Rhinolophus ferrumequinum: one gene and its partner. The protein of the gene in region 1 interacts with the protein of each later gene in a biochemical or structural test. Links are inferred from orthologs where the notes say so. Each region holds a gene or a part of one and is shown on either strand. Other genes may lie near its edges.

Evidence for each region.
Region 2: the proteins of guanine nucleotide-binding protein G(q) subunit alpha (region 1) and RIC8A form a complex in vitro, tested with the Homo sapiens proteins (2 studies listed by BioGRID). The link is inferred for Rhinolophus ferrumequinum from reciprocal best matches to the Homo sapiens genes GNAQ and RIC8A.

Annotation. Positions count from the first base shown.
Region 1 is NC_046295.1:42,698,455-42,706,387, forward strand, and holds the start of guanine nucleotide-binding protein G(q) subunit alpha, read right to left. Parts: upstream 3,018-7,933; 5' UTR 2,796-3,017; coding exon 2,660-2,795; intron 1-2,659.
Region 2 is NC_046294.1:33,878-41,347, reverse strand, and holds the start of RIC8A (synembryn-A), read right to left. Parts: upstream 3,180-7,470; 5' UTR 3,030-3,179; coding exon 2,946-3,029; intron 2,662-2,945; coding exon 2,614-2,661; intron 2,527-2,613; coding exon 1,936-2,526; intron 1,532-1,935; coding exon 1,440-1,531; intron 882-1,439; coding exon 731-881; intron 1-730. Other genes in the region: BET1L (BET1-like protein), read left to right, coding at 4,884-5,098, 6,304-6,412, 6,674-6,730, 6,849-7,016.

The DNA.
Region 1 (7,933 bases):
CTACTTTGAAAAGAATTTAATCTGGAATTTCATTTAAAAATAAGGGTGATTCCTCAATTTAAATATTTAAAAATATTGGTGAATCGTTAAACCGTGAAAGGGTACATCCCTTAACCTCCTTTGGTCAGGTATCACTTAAATGAATGAAGGCACCAGAAGACTCATCTAAGGAGCCCGTCAGGAGGTACTCAAAGGAACCCCTTCCCAATACCTGCCCTGATTCACATCGACCATCATTTATCTCCTGGACTCAAAAAATCATGAAATGCCCATACACACAAACCTACATTTAGCATATATCATTAACTATATAAATAGCATAGATATTACAGTAGATTTGTTACAAAAGCAACATACTTAGAACATGAAGCAGTAGCAAATGTTACATGATGTCTAGGCATCACATTTCTAACAGCAAGTTGTATCATTTTTAAATGTTACCAATGAATGTAGGTGCTAAATGAAAGTCATATTTTTCTACCACTTCTAAGAGGCCATATTTGGGGGCCGGGGTGGGGCTTGTATTAAACCCTACTCAACTATCTAATAAGAAAAAAAAAAAATCCTCCCCACTGCCAACACTTAAGCAGTAAAATTGTTTTACTTTATTTTTTTTCTCATGCAATTACTTGCAAGTTCATTTTTTTAAAGCACAGTATGTTATTTAAATACACAGTGTGCAATTAAGCATCCATGTATGTGTATTTCCCCAAAAGTCCTCCTCCTAGACATTGAAACCTAGGCCCTCAAACAGATGAACCCCCTGGGCTCTAACTCATAGCTCCTAGGAACCCAGAGCTGTCACATTTCAAGCCATAGGGTTGGCTTGAGAGCCCTCACCACCCAATTCACAGCTAAACAGAAACATGTAAAGGCTGTAAACAGGGAAGGGAAAAGAGAAAAACCGTTAAGTCTAAAACACATGCTTTTGCCCCCTTAATCATGCACCCAAACACTCTATACATTTCTCTTGCCCTCTCTATTGTCTTCTCAATCATGATAATTCAGAAAACATTCAACTACATTTTCAGCCAGTAAAAGCAGCTCAAAATGAGAATAAAAATAAAAAAATAAAAAGATCATTTTCCCATAAGAGTTTACCCTGCCCTGCCTTCATTTCTGAAAGCCCACCTCTTTTATCAAGCACTTTGCCTTCTGTTCTTTATAAACATGTGCACATTTATCTAATCTGCTTCAAAATGAAAACATAAAGCATAGCATGTGAATTAACCATTTGTAACTATTTGTGATCATTATATTTTGTTCCTTCTTTAAATGATCCAGGTACATAAGCAGTTCAGTCCAAAAGGCAACTGATTCCTTGAACCAGGAGACTGAATGCTCAAGATAAGAAAACACGTTTCTCAAATCCGAATTGACAATACAATATTCTTTTCTTCCAGAAATGTCTGAGAAACATATTTATTATACACGTAAATATCCTGAACACGAGTGCAGGCATTTTTCAGGCCTGTTACTGCAAAGCTGTTTGCTCTTCTTACCACAATAGCTCAGAGTATGTTACCCTGGCTTGTATATGCGAACCCTGATGGCTGATTCTGAACAATCTCTCAGAGATAATAATCAACAGAATTCCTAATTGAGAACCAGCATTTTCTTGCTAACTTAGTGTTAGAGAAGAACGTTGAGTTTTTTTGGTTTTTTTTTAGAGATTAAAGGGAAATTTCTTGCTGTACACTTCCCGTTTTCCTTCCAGTCCAGATTCCAAACATATTAAAATGCTGTCCGTTTTAAACAAAAGGTTTCTATTTGTCTCCATGAGAGTAATTGAGAGGCTGCACTGGTTTTCAGTAGTAACTATTGTGAATTCAGGCCTACATCTGGGTTGCCTCATTAAACAAAAGATACCCGTCGCTGTCAACAACCACACAGCACAACGCTCCCCTATCCCTTGCCTTTTTATCTGGAAGGAATTTTGCAGACAAGAAACACGCCTGTCACTATCCACTGGTCAAGAAACTCTTCTGGGGTCCGTCCTTTCGTTGGTCTGGTGGCTAGGGAACAGCACTTGTGTGACACATTTGTGCTTGCCTCCCTGCCCCCCTAATACATAAGCCTCCTTTCTTTGGAGGGCCAACCACTCGCCTCTCTCATCATCACTCCTTGAAGAAGCCAGCTGTGACTCTGCCCACCACCGTTCCACCATTCCCTCCTGACCCCAGAATGCACTGATATGGATGCACACAGGCCACCCCCTAGTTGCCCTGGCTCCGTTCGCCACCCTCGGGCCACACACACAGCTAGCTCCCCACTCCACCACCCACGGGGCGCCGCGGCCACGACACTGGAAGTTCAACCCCTCTTTCCACCTTCCCATGCCTTCCCCCGCACCCAAGTTATTTGCCATTTAGGAGATGCACGGCAAATAAACGCGCACCCCGAATGCACGGCCTTCAGGGGCCGGGGGCAGGGCAGCCCGACCCCTCTGCGTGTGTGTGCGAGTGTATGTGTGTACGCGCGCGCCCGAAAGGGTGCGGGTGGTGGCCGGGGGCGCGCCGGGGGAGGGTAGGGAACAACCGCGGGCGCCCTGAGGCGGGGGCCGCTGGCGGCGGCTGCCCGGGGGGTTCGGGGGTGGCTGGCGGGGGGCGCCGAGGTCCGGGGAAAGGGCCCGCGAAGGCCGGCCCCGGGCGGTACTCACCCAGCAGCAGCAGCTTGAGCTCCCGGCGAGCGTCCCGCTTGTCCCTGCGGAGCTGCCGCTCGATCTCGTCGTTGATCCTCCGGGCTTCCTTGGCCTCCTCGCTCAGGCAGCACGCCATGATGGACTCCAGAGTCATTCTTCCAAAGTGCCTCCGCTGCAGCCCCGCCGGCACCCCCTGCTCACACGCGCGCACACACACCCTCCCGCCCTCGCTCCCCCGAGGCAGCGGTGGCCGCCGAGCCCCCGCCGCCCGGGCGCGCGTCCGGGACTAGCTCGGGGAACCGCCGCGGTGGCCGCGGCCAGGGCCGGAGCCACCAGGTGGAACGGGGGTGCGGCGGGAGCAGACGGCTGGGCCGCCCGCAGGAGCGAGGCGGGGCGGGAGGCGGCCGCGGGCGCTGGTTCGGGGTGCGCGCGACGAAAGGCCGCCGCTCCCGGCCTTGCTCAGACGCCCGGGCTTCCTTCCCCGGGCACGGGCGGCTCGCCTCGCCCCCCGCGCGGCCACCGCTGCCGCCGAGGCTCCCCTAAGCCCTGCGCCCGGCGGCGAGAGCACATCCACCGGGGCGTACGCAGCGAGCGGCCGCCGATGGCTCTCTGCGCCCGGCGCGCCCGCTCTTGGCCGCCGCTTAACACGGCTCCGGGCGCCCTCGGCCCTGCCCGCGCCCACCGCCCGCCGGCTGCCGCGCGCTCCTCCGCCTCCGCCTCCGCCTCCGCCTCCGCCAGGCGCCCACCCCCGGCCCCGATTGCCAGGCGCGGAGCGGCTGCTCAGTGCTCGCCCTCCCCCTCGCCACACACACACATTTTCTTCTTTCTCTGAACTGGAGCACAGATCCGGGAGGGAGGCGGCGGCGGCGGCGGCGGCGGCGGGAGGAAGAGGAGGAGGAGGAGGAGGAGGAGGAGGAGGAGGAGGAGGGAGCGGGCGCAGGAGGAGGGAGCGGGGAGGCGGTGCCGCCCGGCCCCTCCTGGAAGGCTCTCCTGGGCTCGCAGCCGCCGCGCGCGCCGCCCAGTGCGGCTCTCGCCTCGCCCGCGCTCCTCCCGGGCTGGGCCGGCCCTGGGAGCTCTGCGGGCGCCTTCCGCTCCCGCGCCCTCTGCGGGGCCCGCGGGCGCCGCGGTCACGGCCGCCCCCGGCGGAGGGCGGGGTCGGGTCTCCCCAGCTCAGCCAGGGCGGCCGCCAACCTGCCGCTGCCCGCCGGCTGCCCGGGCGTGGTGAAGCAGGAATATGGCGGCCTCTGTCTCCCTTTCAGCCCACCAGCCCCGGAGCGCGGCCTCGGCCCTCGGGGAATCCTCAGGATTCGGCCCCGCGAGCCCCCTGCACCGGCTGTCACCGTGGACACCCTGCCCAACTCCCCGCAGGCGGCCGCGGCGCTCGCGCCCCCCGCTCCTGGACAGCACAGATCTGCTGGCGCGACCCTCTGCAGCCGCTTCTGTATTCCTTCCCGTTCCTATTTCTATAACGCCATTCGGTTAGAGAGTATCTCTGTCATCTCTGACCCCAGTTCAGTAGTAGAAAATCAGATACACTCGATAGTGGAGTGTGACGGAGGAAGAGAAGTAATTGTCACTGGTTCCCGGAGGTGTGTGTGTGTCGGGGGGGAATTAAAAGGTGAAACTCTCCCCAGTTACTGGACATAGAAATGTAAATCCTGAGCAGAAAAATGAAGCTGCCGAAGTTACCAAGAGCTTCCTGATATCTTCCAAGTTTTCACGCCATTGAGGTTGTTTTTGTTTTCTTACAAGCTCTCCTCCTGTTTTTTAAAAGGCACGTGATGTTTAACAGCCAAGTAATCGAATTTACCCTTCTAGGCCGAGATTGAATTATGGATGTCTACTGGGAAAATGCAAAATAACGTGAAAGAAAAGGAAAGAGTAAAATAGAAAAATGAGAAAACCAACATCGCCTCAGCAAAATTTTATTCCAGTATTTTGTTTTCCACTCTCGATTGGGGCAGTTTACTTAAAAATGTTTGCATATTTTGTTGTTACATAGGACTGAAAAATGGCTACACACACACAAAAAAATCTTGCTCATTCAGGTTTTATGTAGTTTAATAGCTACAAGAGATGAAACTCATATTGCGTCCTGCCTTAACGGAACCTGAGGTCTTGAAAGTAAATTGAATTCTATACAGGGAGTCCCTTTTTCACGTTTTGTTTTCTCTGAGATGTCTCTGGTGCAACCTGCTGATCCAGAGTGTAAAATATGATCATGACAGTCTTATTGCTACAGGTCACAAATGCACAAAGGGTTCTCGAATGACAGATGTGTGACTACCTTCTTTCATTTGCCTTTACCTCCACCCCTTGACTGCCCCCACCTCTCTCTTTCAGAACTTAGATCAAAGAAGTCATCGCGATATAAGATCTATATTTTAGACTCCCTTTTAAAAGGATATTTGGCCTAGAAAATGATTAGATTTCACCTTGGCTCAGAGAGCAGAAAGGACAAACCTCACATTTATGTGAATGCCCACAAAAAGCCACTAGACCTGCTGTGAAATTTAAAATAAAGTGACTAATGAAGTTAAAGACTGAAATTCAACATGCAGAACTTTTAAATGGCTTCAGAGGAAAAGCTTAATTATAAGTTTGCATCCATATATATGTGTATATATATATATGCATATATATGTGTATGTATATATATGTATATATATATATATGGGTTTCAGATTCAAAACATCAGAAAATTAAATGACAGGAAGCTTCAAATGTCTGGGTTTCCTAGCCAAGAATCCTCTGAGATTTTTGAAAATGTCATCAAGCTACCAGGATCCATTTTGACGGAATTGACCTATTTTTTGATGAAAGGAATTAACTGCTTCGATACACTGTAGATACAAATCACATTCCAAATCACCCCAAAACACAGAGTAAGATGATCAACCATTTTAAGTATTCTAGGGCAATTACTAGATAGCTGAAAAGCAAGCCACAAAATCCTAGGAGCTTGAACACTGAACACCAGAGGAAAATGGGAAGACTGTCACCTCTTCTATGGTATTCTGAGATGGATCCCTACCCCCATGATCATATCACCCTGTCCTTGGGGGACTGGAAAAGAAAAACAGTCAAAGGTATAGAATAGTCTCTAGGAGTGATCCTAGAGTTAGAGTGAAAGGTCGCACTCTTGTAAAAGGAGTTCCTGGAGAAGGATAAGCCTGCACTCCTTCTGTTCCCAGGCACTTGGCACAGCTGCTTCCCAGCATGCATAGCACTACACCACTGTAATTCTCATTCATTCTCTCTCTCTCTCTCTCTCTCTCTCTCTCTCTCTCTCTCTCTCTCTCTCTCTCAAGCTGCTTGAGAGCATAGACCTTGTAAATGATGAATAAAGAAAAGGATACCACAACCTCCATCAACAACAAAAACACTTGCAGACTCCCAGTCCCAGGCAGTGCCTTAAAGTCTTAATAATCTATTTGGCCAGACAGTCCACATGCATAAAAGAATAAACAACAATGTAAAATGAGACGCACTCACTACCAATCTACACTGTAGAGAACGGATTGCTAGGAGTTCAAAACAAGGAGCAGAGATCCCAGGCACCGTTCAAAGCAACCCAAGAGTATGGATAGGCACACGGTGGTGGTCACCTGTAAGACCAATTAGAAGTCAGCCTGGAGCATTGCCGGCCCTACAACAGCTGGGAAAGAGCTGCTCTGTGCAGAGCTTGCTGGCACAGCTGTCTGGCCAGGGAGTCAAGTGGCCTTGCTGGGGTGGAAAGCAGGCCGACGCAGGCTTAGAGAGCTGCAAATGGCACCACCTAGAGGACAGTTTTCACAACAGCAGAAAGATAGTGATTCTTAGTTGAAAGAAATGGTTCTAGGGTCAACATGTAGAAGATGAAAAATCAGGTGTGAAACAGAACACCTTCTTCTGAAAGAGAAAAGCCACCAAACTGATAGTCTAGATGAGGTAGAGTAGCTCAGTGACATCTTTCTATTATTATCCTCAGAAATGCATTCAACCGATCCTCTGACTAATCAGATATACTTATTTTGTGCTTATCCAAGGTCAGCATTATCACAGTAAGTATTGTACTCACAGTGTAAATGCCATCTAAGTCCCACCAGACTGGAAGGCCCGAAAAGGCTGGCCAAATGGGAATGTGTTTAAGCTGAGTAGAGCAGTGTTTCAGCCACCGAAGCCATTTACTAATATTTGATTAATGAATGAGTGAATGAATGAATGAATTGGAGCAAATGAATGAATATGTACTAAGATCAGACAGTGAGCTATCAGGTCACCCCAAATCATAATCCAAATCCTTCTGGTATCCAAAGGATCAAGGATAACTTAGCTAACATAGGAGTTTCCTTTTTGCCTTGAAGTTATTACAAGTTGGAGCCACCTGTCCCCCAAGACTCTGCCCTTGCTGGACTTCCACCTAAGACCAAGGGTGCAAATTGGGATCTTTGGCCTGAAGAAGTGTTGCTTTTGACTTAATGGTGCTATTGAAAATTTTGAATTAGCTATCAGAACTTAAACATCAAGAGATTCACATAGAAATGGGGGTTTCAGTTCCTGGTCAAGATCTGGCAATCCCAGGCCTATATTTCCAGATGATGACCATTCCCGTCACCTGATTTACTCCCATTGTTGTGAATCCTGGACCAATTTGTACTCTCCATTTAGCACATACTGTACCTGTGAGCATTCCAGGTAGGACCTCTAAGGCAGTGAGCAGGATGGGGATTGGATACTGGATTTAATCAGGTTGTTGAGGCCATTGATTTCTTTCCCCTTTTTTTGTTTCCAAGTTTCTAAATCAAATAATCGTTTAAACCATTATACTCATCTCTCCTCCCTTTGATCATTTCTCATATAAAACTCCATAAGGGCTTTTTGTCTGTTTGGTTCATTTCTAAATCCAGCACCTAGAATAGTGTCTGAGAGGTAATAGATGCTTCAGAAACATTTGTTGAATGATTGACAAAAAGGCCACATGTTGACCGCTTGGCAGTCTGCCTCTTTTCTTTTTTTCCTTAGCCAGATGGTAGCCACCAAAGTTGGCTCCCTCTCTAAAACATTCCTTGGCCCTGTGCTTAAAAATCTTGCCTCAAATGGGTTCATCAATGAAAATTGGCCATTGCTACGATATCATGAAAGCTGGGGATGCAACATTTTTGTTCAAAACCCAGATGGAAACATGTATTAATTCCACCTAAATCAACTTTATAGGAAAATTGATATTCCTGATACAAATTCATTTCAAGTAATGTGCATGTTATATATTGGAGGTTATGACACAATATATATTCAAAGTTGTTAAGTGCT
Region 2 (7,470 bases), on another chromosome or scaffold:
CCTCAACCAGGACTGTGGGGCAACAGCGTTTCAAACTGAGCACTCAAGTGGCGCTCAGAAAATGGTGGCTAAAAACGTGAGAACAAAATCGCTTTCTGTGGGTGTCGTGGACAGAGACCAGGGAGCTCCCAGCTCCCGGCCTCCCCTGGTTACCTCCCTGGATCCCAGCACCAGCAGCGGTAGTGCTAGGAACAGATGGTCATGGCTAGTGTGTCCACTGCTGGGCACATGGCCTAGCCCACCATGCACGTGAGTGTGGGTTCCCGAGAGTCTGTGCTGTGCGGCGTGCACATCCACGAGCTCCCGGAGGGCTGCTGAGAGCCCCTGCCGGCCACTGTGCTCAGATGCAGGCACCTGTGGGTCACGGGACAGTTGACGCCAGTACCCGAGAAATTCCTATGCAGTGACACTAAGACTCTGGAGTCCCAAGCAGGGGCTGGGGGGCTTCTCAGGACCATTCAGGAGGGAGCCCCCCACAGGTCTGAGAAAGAAGCACTCTGGTTGACTGAAGACGCTCCACGGGAAGCTGCACAGTCAACCTCCCTGGCATGTGTGCTTCTCAGGGCAGAGGGCCTGGCTTCCTGCCCGGTTGGACCCGTGAGGCTGGGGGCCCAAACCATGGCACTGAGCCCGTCTCCATTCACCAGTGTGGACTTTGCAAAAGCTGTGGCCACAGCTGCTTGGGAAGCCAGAGCCAATGGGCAGCCCCCACAGCAGGACCCCTGCCCACCTGGTGCAGACGCTTCTCCAGGAAGCTGAGGAGGACACGGATCACATCCATGTTCACGCCCAGGAACTCCAGGGACCCTTCCTGCGGTTCCAGGGTGAGGAGGACATCCAGACACTGGAGGGGCAAGTTCCCCAAGAGGTTCACTGTGTGGCTGGGGACAGACGGGGGCGGGGGGCCTGCTAAATCCAGTCCCCTAGCACAGGCACAACCCTTGGTGTACCCTGCTGGGCTCCACACAACATGAACCTAAGGAGCAGCACCAGGAACCGAGGCTGAAGGGGCACTGACCTCGGGCACTCCTGCCCAGTGGGGTAGGTCCCCAAGAAGGGCAGCACTCTGTGCAGATGCCCCACCTGCCACCCTCTGTCTGGGCTAAAACATCATAGGCAATCTCTGGGAAACCAGGGTCTGCCTATGCACAGGGCACCGAAAACAGCGGTAAGGAACTACGTCGCCCTGTAGATACCATGCCACCCACTGCCACTACCCGAGGTCCAGTGGCACTTTCCTGTCCACACACAACAGCTCTTATCCTAGTACGTATTGCAAGTGCCGGGCTCTCTGGAAACACACTGATGTCTAGTCCCACTCAGATGGAAGATTCTGCAGGGTGGAGCCCGGTCCACTGGCTGGGCTGGGAACCCCATCTACGCTACCTTCTACACTGGTGAGCACACTTCCCTCCCGGGATGACAGGCCCCACACTCACCCATGGAACTCCTCCGTGCGGTCTCCAGCAGCAGCCACCATCACACAGTGCCGCAGGAGGGTCCCCAGGTGCCGGTAAAGGGCAGCATCTTCCTGACAAAGAAAAAGGTTCCTGTGACAGAGAGCCACAGTTGTCCCACCGCTGCCAGCTGGCGTGGTGTCTACCCCAGTCCAAGACCACGTGTAGTGACGTGCATCTTGTTGAGTGTATGCCCCAGCCCCCCAGAAAGAGCAATGCAGCCCCTTGGGAGTGCATCCCACTGTTTCCCAGCCCCCATGCACTCTGGTGGCAGGAGTCACCTGCAGCCTCTCACCACAGCCCTCCTGCCAGGCTCTAGGAGCCCTGGCCTCCGCGTCCCTCAGAAACCCTCCTCGAGGCCTCAGAACTGGTGTCTCCTTGCCTCCTGCCTCCTCCCTGTGTCAGACACCCGTCGGCAAGGCACGCTGACTACCCAGCAGCGTTACGCGAGCACCAGCCACCGCGCAGGTCGACTCACCTGGTCCACCTCCCTCTTAACAGAGTCGAACGTGATGTTGAAAAGCACCTTGAGGATCTCCATGGCCCGCTCTGTCTCCTGGGGAGGAAGAGACCTCGGGGTGCTGTCTTTGGGGGTCACCCCCAGCGTCAGCTCCAGCGCCTCTGTCAGTAGACGCACACCCTGCAGCTCCTGAAACAGCTGCTGGCGAACGTCGGCACGCAGCGCCGTCAACAGGAAGAGGAGGCGCAAGTCAAAGAACTGGACGTCGTGCGGGACGCCGCTCTCCCCGTGCAGCCCCACGCGCTCCGCCAGGCTCACCACCAGGCGGGCCTCTGCTGCCAGCACCTGTGCCTCCGGGCTGCTGAGCACCAGGTTGCACAGGCACTTGAGGGCCTCGAGGACAATGTCCATGTTCAGGGCCTTAGGAGCTAACCCCGCGGAGCCGGAGATGCCAGCATAGCAGGCCAGTGCCTGCAGGCTCTGGCGGCTGGTGAAGGGGTCCAGGCAGCTGCGGTCCCTGGACAGGATGCGGATGCTCTGCAGCCAGGTGACGCGGCGGGAGAGCGGCAAGCCCTGCTCCAGGCCCAAAACCAGCAGCTCCGCCAGCCTCTGTGGGCGGAGGGAAGAGTGGCTGCAGCAGGCGTGTCGGCCAGCGACCGCCCGTCCCTTCTCCTTCACCCCTCGGGCAGCACCCACCTTCCTGTCCTCCTGTTGGGCGTCCTCAAACGTGAAGCTCTGGGAATTCTGCAGAGAGACCCAAAGACTCAGGGAGCACAGGTGCACACGGGCAGGGCCCGGGTTCCCAGGAGGGCCCTGAGGCCGCAGGGACCCCTCTGCAAAGGAGCCCCACCCCTACACACCTGTTCCCGGGGCGCGCACCCCGACTCGCCCCCCAGCAACGCCTCGTAGACTCTGCGCCCCGCCCCTCCGCGCTCCCTCCCACACTCACGCACCCGCTGCCGGCCACGCGCGTGCCCCACCCTGCCCCACCGCCTCCTCGCACGTCCCACGTCCACGGCTCCGCTCACCTCCAGGTTGTACGTGCGCAGAGCCTCCATAATTACGTCCTCCTCTCCCGTCTCCACGGCATCCGCAACCGCACCGGGATCCATGGCGCCCCCGGCACGCGGCGCCGGGAAGGAGGGAGGGGCCACGCTCCGCGGTTCCGGACCGGACTCCAAACGCCTCTCCCTGACTCGATGCGTGGGGGTCGCCGGGACCGGCGTGCGCGGCGCCGCGGGGCGGGGCGGAGCTCGCGCGGGGTACGCCGGGACGGGCGTGCGCGCCGCCGCGGGGCGGGGCCTGGGCTGCGTGCGCCTGGCGGTGGCGGGGCTGGGAGCTGGCAGGCTCTGCCTCCGGGTCAGCACGGGCTTCAAGCTCCGACTCGGTGATGTTTGGAATTCGGGGCCTCGTGACTGCCCCCGCTTCTTGTGCCGGAATTCCCGGCAGGAGAGGACCGCAGCCCCCAAACCCCCACCACGCGCACAACAGCGCTCCTCTGGAGCCGCCCCACGAATGCGATGTCGGGGCAAAGCCGAGGTGAAAAGGACTTTGCAGCCCTGTGACCACTTGGTTTGTTACGTGTTCGAGTGACTGCTGCATGCGAGGCGCTGGGATGCGGGTAAACAGGACCCACACGTCCCTGTCTTCGTGGCGCTGACGTTCCAAAAGTCAAGGGCAGCCAAGAAAAAACGGACAAACGAGACGACTTCAGGCAGTCGTAGTGCTGTGATTTAAAACAGAAAGGCGTGTGGTTGTAACCGAGCGGTTTGCTCCCCCCTGCGCTGCGCGTAGCCAGTTACACTGACACTGGGTTGCCCTGAAGGAAGCCTTTATTGTAGACCGCCATGCATTGGAGAACCAGCAGCTTACGCGGGAAGAACCCGAACTCCCTGTCCGCTTGTTGGCAATTGGTTTTAAAGGGTGAAATGGAGGGTAGGGGGTCTTCAATACGTTATCAGTTCCGGGGTACCATATGATTGGTTGGAGCTGGAGTTACAAAGACATCTTAGTTCTGGTCATCAGTTCTCTGGCGCCAGCTAGCCTGATGTTTACGTGCCTGTTGGAGGTTTTGTAAAAACACTTCCAGGTACGCGTCAGTGTGTTAGCTGTGAATCCACAGGGCGAATTGGTGCCCCAGGAGCCTGATTTATGTCTGAGAAAAAAAAAAAGGGACTTGGGTCTGATTTGTTACAAACAAGAAACAGCGGGGGTCGGGGGGGTTTGCTGAGAAGGGATCGTGTCTGGGCTGCGTGGTGCGCTGCAAAGGGCTCTGCGGTGGCATTTTTTCTGAGACAGGACGCTAAGAAGTGAGCCAGGAAAGGACGTGGGGGAAGGTGATTCAAGGCAGGAGCAGCCACTTGGCAGTTGGAGAATGGCCATGGGGGAGAGAGGAGTGTGGGGAGGTCAGGATGAAGGCAGCGCCTGATCACGTGTCCGGCGCGACTTCCCAGCTGTGTAATCGGGACACACTGCCTGGCCTGTACTCAGTCTCCTCTTTTGAAAAGCACAGGTGATAAAAATTCCCATTCCAATGGTTTGTGAGGACTTATGACAGCAAATGATGTCTTCGGTGGGTGACTCCTGCAGCAAGTCTTTGTTGGGCATCCCGGTTGCGCCAGGCCCTTTGTCAGCAACGCCCGCGTGCAAAAGCGGGAAGCTCCTACCGGCCACACGTCCCCGCCACTTCCACCCCACCCCTGCCTCGCCGCACCGTCTTGTCGGAGCGCTTCACCCCTACGTCTCCTGCGGCGCTCGCTCGTTGCGGGCACCGATCTCCGCCGCGTCCCTCCAGCATTAACTGGGGCCGGGACTTCGCCACGAACCTGCGCCTTAACCGCACCGCGGCGGGCGGGGGCGGCTCCTGTCCGGACCTCGCCGCCCCTCTCTCGCCTGGGTAAGGGCCATTTGGGACCTGACGCAGCCTTCGGCGAGAGTGACGAGTGTATGTCAACACCCTCACCGGCATGGAACACACTGACGCCCCGTCCGCAAGTCAGGCCACTTCTGCTCCCACCGCACGGCCCCCGCGGCCCGGATCTCAGCCGGAAGCCGGCGGGCCCGAGCGGAAGGGGCGGGGCCGGAAGCCCCGTCCCGTGACGGCCACGTCGCCGGAGCCTGTGGCGGAAGCGTTGACGGAGCCCGGGGCCGGAGCCGCGCACGATGGCGGACTGGGCTCGGGGTGAGCGCGGGAGAGTGGAGCCGGTGGCGGCGGCCCGGCCGTCGTCGACGCCGCTGCCAGCAAGAGCCCGGCCGGCTGGGTGGCTTTGGCGGGTTGACCCGCTGGCGGGCGGAGCCAGGCCGGGCCGACCAGGCGTCAGCCGGCCCCGCCCCGCCGCCCCTGAGGGGTCGCCGGACCCGGGGGTGTCCCCGCCCTTCCCCATCGCGCAGCTGCGGGGGCCCGACGGCCACGGCCCCCACCGTCCGCACGGGCCGCAGGCCAGCCCCCGGGAGCGGAGGCTGCGTGCTGGGAGGGCGGAAGCAGGCCTCGTGGTGACTGGGGCCTGGGCTCCGAGGGCCTCGGGGAGCCCCGCCCGATGCTGATGCCGCTTTGCCGAGCTGTTTGGTCCTTAGGAGTCAGTGAACGCGAAGGGGCTGGTGGGACGTAACACCCTTTCCTTAGGGGTCTGCACATCGGTGATTCCCAGGGCTGCTCCCCCATTAGAGGGGTCACGTCGAGGCTTCTGCCCCACGGCAGGTGTACACTCTTAAGTGGGGGGCAGGTGGTTTCCACACGCCTGATGTGCCGGTAATTGCGAATCACCTGGCCCCGCCCTAGTCACTGGCAGGTCTCAGCAGGCACCACGCCCTGTGTGGGTCGCAGCCCTGATCAAATGTCATCCCTGCCCTTGGGGTCTGTTTTGGGCAGCACTGCTCAGTTGTCGGCGCTCTGGTTACTTGTCACCTCACCAGGACCCAGTTCACAGGTGTCCCCTGCAGGGACCTTCCTGCTGCCCCCTGGGTGCCTCTCCTATACCTTTCCTACATCCACACCAGTTTACTGTTTATCTCGTAAAACAGGTCCCATGTACACCATTGGTGACATCCATGGAGGGATGGTACAGGTGGTGTCATAGTACCCCAAAGTGCCAGTTTCACTGAATTGTTTGTGGTTGTACACTTTGGGGGTGCCTGCCTGTCCCGGCCTGGACATGTGCTCAGGCCATGCGCTCACACAACAGGTGGTCACGCACACTGTCACCCAGCCTGTCTCATGTGCGAAGTCCTTGCACCAGCCCCTGGGGTACAACTGGACCTGCTCAACAAACAGGTGGACCCCGTTCCCCCAGACATGACACTTGGCCAGATGGGATCGTAGTGGGAGTCCTGAGGTCACGAAGGGCCAATGCACAGGGTCAAGGGCTCATGGGTGGTTGTCCCCCTCAGCCTCTCTCTTCCTGCAGCTCAGAGCTCTGGCGCTGTGGAGGAGATTCTAGACCGGGAGAACAAGCGGATAGCCGACAGCCTGGCCTCCAAAGTCACCAGGCTCAAATCGGTCAGTAGTGGCCTCTTCTACCTCCACCTGGACCTGCTCAGGTGGGATGAGAGGGAGGGTAGAGTCCTGGAAGGGTTAAATGTGCTTCCCGTCCTTCTGTCCCATCCATGGCAGCGGTCACCTGTGTGAGGGCCAGGTGACATCTGGACCTGACTTCTGGTGGTGGCAGGGTTGTTGGCAGCGTCTGCTGGTCTTGTCGGGGGTCAGGCGCTGTCCCGTATGTCTGCCCTGGCCTGACCCTGCCCCTTCTGTCCTGACCAGCTGGCCCTGGACATTGATAGAGATGCTGAGGACCAGAACCGGTACCTGGATGGCATGGTAAGGGTCTGCGACGTGCATGAATGTCGTGGGCAGCTCTGCCCTGTACTGCCTGCTTAGCCCCCCACCCCATGCACACGGCAGCGCCCGTGTGACCCAGCTGGGATTCCTCCCGCAGGACTCGGATTTCATGAGCGTGACAGGCCTGCTCACGGGCAGCGTGAAGCGCTTTTCCACAATGACGCGGTCTGGGCGAGACAACCGAAAGCTGCTGTGCGGCATGGCCTTGGGCCTGGTCGTGCTGTTCTTCATCCTTTCGTACCTCCTGTCCAGGGCAAGGACGTGAGCCAGTGGGAGCTGGCTTCTGCGGGTGCCCGGGCTACCAAGGTCTTCCCTACCTGGTGTCCTGGGCTCCAGAGGACCTGCCTACAAAATACTCCTTTGAAATGATGACCGTGGCTTAGGCATCTTCTTCCTGTGTGGCCGGGAGCCCACGGCTGCCTCTGACTCAGCTGTGTTGGCTGGTCCCATGTGTGCAAGGGCCCAGGTGCGAGAGGCACTGGCAGAGCCATGCCTGAGCAGAACAGCTGGACGTCCTGGACACGGCTGCTCGGGGCCAGCAGCCCTTTACAGGCCCTTGGCTCTGATGTCTCAAGGCTCCTCTGCCCGGTCATCTTTGTCTGGTAAGGTCACATCTGGTGTCCGAGGTGCCTGGACCTGACACAGGAAGCGGGTGTGGCTATGGGCCTCTACTCAGCGCCATCTCCTCCAAGCAAGAGTCTTCAGCCCAGGGGTGGGAG